2 linked regions of the Drosophila melanogaster genome follow. The protein of the gene in region 2 interacts with the protein of the main gene of each other region in a pairwise test. Each region holds a gene or a part of one and is shown on either strand. Other genes may lie near its edges. The genes, in order: CG2698 and Obp47b.

The links.
Region 1: the proteins of Obp47b (region 2) and CG2698 interact in a two-hybrid assay, tested with the Drosophila melanogaster proteins (one large-scale study listed by BioGRID).

What each region holds. Positions count from the first base shown.
Region 1 is NT_033777.3:7,999,357-8,003,284, reverse strand, and holds the start of CG2698 (uncharacterized protein), read right to left. Parts: upstream 1,724-3,928; 5' UTR 1,490-1,723; intron 1,391-1,489; 5' UTR 1,364-1,390; coding exon 839-1,363; intron 732-838; coding exon 126-731; intron 66-125; coding exon 1-65. Other genes in the region: Kmn2 (kinetochore Mis12-Ndc80 network component 2), read left to right, coding at 2,000-2,006, 2,071-2,198, 2,270-2,365, 2,413-2,469; PIG-H (phosphatidylinositol glycan anchor biosynthesis class H), read right to left, coding at 2,433-2,561, 2,622-2,699, 2,782-3,240.
Region 2 is NT_033778.4:11,301,519-11,304,904, reverse strand, and holds Obp47b (Odorant-binding protein 47b), read left to right. Parts: upstream 1-1,917; 5' UTR 1,918-1,928; coding exon 1,929-2,033; exon of another isoform or gene 2,034-2,100; coding exon 2,101-2,223; exon of another isoform or gene 2,224-2,286; coding exon 2,287-2,658; downstream 2,659-3,386. Other genes in the region: CG7741 (uncharacterized protein), read right to left, coding at 1-154, 213-321, 380-697, 754-1,085, 1,143-1,309, 1,373-1,455.

The sequences.
Region 1 (3,928 bases), on a different chromosome or scaffold from region 2:
TTTAGTTCCAGGACACCAGGTAGACAGAGTGGCAGCACGGCAGAATGGTGTTCGATTGCCCAGAACTGCAAACATAAATATAAAAAATGTAAATTCATAATATACGAATTTTATGTCTAACTCACACGCAGCGCTGCGTAAACTTCGCTAATTTTGTTGCAAACAAATTTAGTAATTCCCGTATACTCTCCTACGGTGTAAATAAGATGCAGAATTACTGGGATTGCCGCTAGGATAAACATCCACACGTTGCGATAGAGGAATGTGCCCAAGCAGGCATAAAAAAGGAGCTTAAAGAATGTGTCGCTCTGGTGACTGGGAACCTCCGTTTCTGGCTTGACATCAAACGTGTCCGTCGAGTCGACAGTGTCACTTAACGATACATCCTCCACATCCGACTGCAGCCCCGGACTCAGTGGCTCGTTGCCTGGTCTGCCACAAATGCTGAAGTTGCTTAGCGATCGCTCAAAATCGTTCTTGTCGAACAACTTTTGCAGGCGGTGAAGATAAGATCCCGAATCATCTAGGGTTTGCAGATGATATGCCGTAGATGCTGTTACATAGGTCATAACCAGTAGAAATACCGGCACCTGCAGGGCGCCAAGAAAGCTACTCAGATAGCCCGCTACAGCTATCCACATGGATTGTCCGGCGACCACGAAGTGGGCACTATTCTCTGGCCTCCAAAAGAAGTGGACGCAGCTCAAGTAGACCACGATCAAGGAAATGAGCTGCAATCAATTAAAAATGTTCTGTTTTTTCGTTCTTTTCTATATCAACTGGTTTTTTTAAGATTTTTTCCTATGATTCACCATCGAAAAATCGACAAGGAACTTACCACGTATACGTTGAGGAATCCAATAATTTGAACGAACAAGCCATGGGAAAAGGTGATCCAATGCCAGATGGCCAGCAGAAAACCCTTCGGTGCATATAAAACCAGCAGCTTAATGCACCCGGCCACTCCGCATCCGGCCAGGAGGAGTTGCCAGTGTTCGCAGAGCCACCCGATCAGCAACCGCCCGCAATGCTCTGTGGCTTCCAGCGGCGATAGGCAGATCGAAACCAGTACATTGGAGTCGCGCACCTCCAAGCGGTGAAACCAACTGTTTACGCTCTCCGCCAAACGTCGCTTGAATGGAAAGAGCACGGCGCCCATGAGGAAGGCCCACAGCAATGGACGGACGAAGGGCCCAAGAATGAAGCACACAGCGACGAATGCCGCAACTCCTGCGGCGATCAGGAAATTGTACATGGCGGCGCGAAAGCTCTCATGATTCTGGGACCTCATACGGAGCAGGCGGTTGATCACACTGTCAAAAGAGCGGTCCCGTCGAATGGGAATCGGTTCGGACCGATTCATTTTGCGTGTGCCCGGAGAAACGGGGAACTGCAGTCGGATAGAGAAAACGGGATTAGAGCTTCATGTCCATATGAGTAGCACAGCCGAATGACTGTTCTCGGAACTGCTCCACTGATGGAAACTCACTTTTGATGAAATGCCTCAGTGTTCAGTGGTCAGCAACAGATGGATTCCTACGGGGCCTGGGTGGGATTCCGACAAGGAGATACTAAATTCCGCAACTAGAGGTGGTCATTGGACGAGCAGCTGGCCACTCACTTTATGAGGGGCGGGGAGCGGACTCACATAAACAAAAATACGTCGTTTCTGCCAAATTACGTCAGGCGGGCAGGGCTGGGAAGTGGGTCGGTTCGCAACACTGGCAGCCAGCCGATACACAGTGCGCATCCCCTAAAACAGAAATAATATCGCATGAAATAATTAATGTTTGTTGTATAAAATATTATAAAAAAAAGTACACATAGATATATCTTAGAAACAATTGCCTAGGAGCATACAAGATATAATCTTTACAAATTGGCTATTGATGCGAAACAGGCGTACGTAAAAAGGGTAATTTTTATCACATACTTACTGTAATGAAGGCCATTGACGCTTTTCAACACAGCCACATTTTCAAAACAAAAAACAGACGCCATGGAAAGTAAGCGCATTAAAATTAATCTTTACTGTTATAGAAATACATTAATACTACAAATTATGTACAGACTTTTCACTGCAGCAGTTGATCGAGTTGCAAAATATCCAGAAGGAACTAAACAGCAACAAGGACACGTACCTAAAAACCTACCGCCAAGTACTCAAAAAGAAATTTAGATCAGAACTGAACAATTTGGTAAGCTGCAATTGTAAAATCTCAAATTTGCAATATTTACTTTATTCACAATTACATATAATCTCGTATAGGTCCGTGCTGATTTCAATATAGTCAAAACCGAGTTAAAGGTTCCACAATTACCACCACTACCTCCAGAAGATGAAAAGACTACAGCCACGGTACAAGTAAGTTTGTCTAAATGTTATTAAGTCTCTAATAAATACTTTAACAGTTCAGCGATATGGCCAAGGACTACGAATTCACTAAGGACTGCTTGTCCTTGCTGTAGGACTCTTCTGACCGGTCTTTGGTGCTGTTCAGCCAATATTTATGCAGCACGTGATATGTGTGCTGCAGACACTCAATTGAGGGGGATTGACTCTGGAAAAAAGGAGCTTAATCATTAAATACATACGTTTACATGAACGAAAGTGAACTCACATTGAATAGGGGTATTATAGGGCGCTTCTTGAATTGACTTCCTTTTGTACGTAATATAAGCATGTACTTTACGTCCAACTGAAAGAGAAACAAAGTGAATAAATATTAGAAACATTAGAACTTGAATCCTTAACGTATGTCTATCAGCAATAGTTCGTACGTCTTCAATAACTTCGTTTAGCACTATGTCCTCGATGTGTCCCCTTTGGACGCAGAGGACCGATTCCCTGCCAAAGGAGCGCACCGTCTCCATTTGGAGTGCCATGTCCCAGCTGTAGAACAACCGCTCAGCCTGCACCAGGTTCAGAGTGGATCGGATGAGCAGGATGGCCACGGAAGCACACGTTATCAGTGGGTACAGAATACGGGGCTGCAGGAAACTAATCGTTCTGTTATCAAACCCGCAGGTCCCCACAAAATAAGCGATAGATAGGAACATGAGCAGCAGTAGTCGACGCAACTTGCGCTGCAGTTGGATTCCATGCAGCCGGTTCACCAGTTCGATGCGAACCACGTCGCCGCCGCAGTGCTTGATGCACAGTTCCAAGTCCGCTTCCACGGCTCCTTCATATTTCGCTTGCCGGCTATAATATCTGTGGATCGTCACTTTGGGCTCCATTCCTCGACCAGGTGTTACCAGATGGTGAAACGGGTTAGTCTCAAGTGGTCAAACAGTTGTGGTGGTTTGCCACTAAATTCAAATGGAACAGTTATCAGCACAGATAACAGTGAATGTATTAAGTCCGTCTATAATTTTATATTTCTTTATATCATTACAAAGAGGACTTGCATCTCATGTATATCTTTTTGATTTAGTATTTGGGAAAAACTAGCTTGTTCCAAAATAGCCATTATATAATATGCTAATAACTTGTTTCCACTACTCGGATTTATGGTATTTGATGTACGCATATTTGCTATATAATTAAGCAGCTATCTGTGCATTTTGAATATTTTTTAATTGTTAAAAAGAAGCTTATATGCATATAATTTAAAATATTTATAAAGTATGCCTTATTAGAGTTCATATCGGTATTTTATCCAGTATCTTTCCGATGCGTTTTGACGAAGTCTTACAAAAGCTACTTGCTGCACATTTTATTGGCGCGAAACATGAATTTGTTTTTCTGAGACTCTGACCAGCAAGTGGAAATATGACCGAGTTCTGAAATATGAATACATATTGATTCGTTACAAGTTGAACTAATTACAATGCTGGCATTGGTATCTTAAATGCATTCCGTTTACCGTTATTCGTGAGTTTTAGGGCCATACTTAGCATGTGAATGAAAACGTGTTTTTGGGCA
Region 2 (3,386 bases):
AGTTGAGCAGCGCAGGGCACATGCTTGGTGGACAATATCATGACATGGTGTTTGTTAATCGGTCCTTTGGCCAGAGCAAGATAAAAATGTTCGCCCACAGTGATAATGAGATGCTTCTCCACATCAGGTGAGGATAAACAGAACCAGCATTTATCTACAAATATAGGAATAGTATTAAGGATGCAGCTTGTAAAATTAAGTACTAGACAAACCTTGCTCAATCTGCGGTATTCTAGGACGTTTATCTCTTTTGTTATTATCACCGCCTTGTCGCTTGCGTCTGCCACCATCCATGTCGTAGAAGTATTGTCGGTTTTCTGACTGAAAGAATATATAATTAGTCACTTGGAGTACTTATAGATATGTAAAGGTTACCCACCGAATCATTCTTGCCAATAGCTCCGCCTAAGTCCAAGCCAATGAAAGGACACGGAATTTCATTTGTTGTCTTCTGCGCTAGGTCCAATAAGCGTGATTTGTCTACTGGCTTCAGGCTGAGTGCATAGATGTACTTGGCTTTTTCGGCATTTCCCACTTCCGCAAGGGAAATGAAGCGAGTGCACAGTTCAAACTGGGTAGTCTCATCTTTGGGCATCCGAAAGGGTGCGCTTTCGTAGTGTGTTCCATTAATGGCACAAAAGTGATAGCGCGGCTTTATTTCACGACAAAGAAATGATACCAACTTGGATGCTGTGGCCTGAGAAGAGGAATTAGTTAGTTTCACAGTAACAAGTGCTCTAGATGTATATTTACGTTTTCCTTCTCCTGCATACCAAAGGGCCATTGCGATGTTAGGAGCACATCCACACCGCGGTACTCTGTGGAGCAGTTCTTGGACACCAAACATGAGTTCCTCACAGCGATGACATCGGCTTTGGTGAACTCGTGTTCCGAGCCAGCGGAATCTGCAGTGCCCTGTGCCTCCAAACCACTTAGATAGGCAATTTTAACACCACTGCTCAGCGTGTAGACCCCACGTCGACCAAGATACGTAAGATTGGTGCAGATTTCACCGTCCGTCAGATTTTCAAAGTATTTTTCATGCTCCCTTTGGTTGGGTCCCAGGATATAGGTGGGAACAGTGACTAAGTACAGGGAAAGGGTTAAGAGAATAATAAATGCTTATATTACACTTAACTTACTATGCTTAAAACCATTTTTGTAGGCAATCAGTTCCTCGTTTTGCTTGTCCTCCCCGAAGAAGTCACCGACGCAGCAAAGGATTTCGAAGGGTCCCGCTTTTTTGTTGACCTGCTCCACGCGCTGAAATAGCTGCTTGAAGCGACCTCGCACATCGCCCACAACTAGGCTAGGAGAAATAAACAATATTAAACCCTTAAATCATATAATTTATACCATGTTTTTTACTCACATTTTGGTGCCCGCGTCCATGGTTATCGATAACTGAGCAATCGATTGAATCTTCATCATGTTGGTACTGCCAACTTGGTGCATTAATTGGGCGGCAGAATTCGTAATGGAAATCTAATTAGGTCATTGATTATTTTAGAAATATTAAATTTCTCAAAGCCAAATCATGTTCCTTTTACCGAATTGGAACATAATTCTCGCAATTATAGACCATTTCGAGCACCATGACACATTTTACAGCAGCATTCCCAGCACCACAGTTTTTTTTCGGCAATTGCTGTTTAATTGAGCGAAGAACGTTCTATGCTTATATAACGAACTATAACCTTACCGCAATGTCAATGGCCCAAAACATGACATTATTTATGACATTGGCCCCAAACAGCAGCAGATTGCAACAATGAACTTTTGCTGGGCTTTTCTGGTCATGCGTGGCTGGCACTATTAAGTGGCCATTACTCTTTTCGTTCCATTAGATTTGGAGCTGCGTGAGGGATATAAAATGGGCCTTGCGATTTCATATTCATATCAGTCATTTTACTCACTCAATTGCAGCTATGTCGCCCAGTCAGCTTCTTGTGATCTTCGCTTCGCTGGCCCTAAATACTCGTCTAGTATTTGGCCAAGCCACGATTGATTGCCAAAGACCACCGCAACTAGTGGTGGGTTTTGAGTTTGGTTTTTTTTTAATTTTAAAGTGATTCTTAAGATATTTTGACACTTTCCTAGGATCCCGCACTCTGCTGCAAGGATGGGGGTCGCGACCAGGTGGCTGAGCAGTGCGCCCAACGGATTTTAGGAACAGCAAATGGACAGAAGGCAGGAGGTCCTCCATCTTTGGACACGGCAGCAGTGAGTAATCTCAGCCTATGAAATTGTTAAGAAGTCGCAATACATAATACATTATCTACTTAGTGCCTAGCTGAGTGCATCCTCACATCCTCCAAGTATATTGATGAGCCCCAGAAACTAAACCTGGCAAACATACGCAGTGATCTCTCCGCTAAGTTCTCCAACGATACCCTTTACGTGGAAACCATGACCATGGCGTTCTCCAAGTGTGAGCCCCAATCGCAGCGCAGACTGGCCATGATCATGCAGCAGCAACAACAGGTGCAGCAGCAAAAGACGCAGCAGCAACAACCAAGATGCAGCCCCTTCTCAGCCATCGTCCTTGGGTGCACCTACATGGAGTACTTCAAGAACTGCCCCGATCATCGGTGGACTCCAAATGCCCAGTGTACTCTGGCCAAGGCCTACGTAACGCAGTGCGGTTTGGGTGCCTAACATCACGACCTGATAGAGATGGTGCTTGTACAATGTACATACGTTTATAAAAAGTAGTCATTAAATAAGAATCAAATTAACTTTTTATATTCATCTAATTTTGGATCGCTGGAACTAATTAACGAGGTAGTAACTATGTGACGATCGCACCTGAAGTATACAAACGATCTGAATTAAAACTTGTGACGAAATATTAACCGTTTTTTAGATTATCTCACTTTGTTTAGGTTTGAAATAAAATATAAAGAAAATGCTATTTTATATTGTTGTTCTTTCCGTTAATCATAGAAGTACGCACCATATACATTTATGTAACATGGAGTAAGGCTGAAGGCTGGCAACAACCCGGTTGGCAGCGCTGTTGAGCAGCAACATGATTGTCGGAAATCGAAGTTATCGACAATCAGTCATCGAAGGAACGATCGCAAGGCAGCAGTGGAGTCGAGTGGAAGTCAGCGTTGCAGTCAGTCGAGTTCTCAGCAGCAGTCGTTCGGTCACAAACTAAGAATACTTTATATAATTACCGCATTTAGAATTAAACTAATAATTAAATTAATAATAAACAATAATAATAAACAATCTTACATGGGGGCTCGTCCAGTCCTAAATCGGTTATATGAAGGTGCAGTTGTTTAAAGAAAAAAGACATTGTGGTGTGCGTGGGTATAGTCTTTAAAAGTTGTAAAGTTGTGGCTATATCTATTGCATTTAAAGTTGGAAAAATCAGT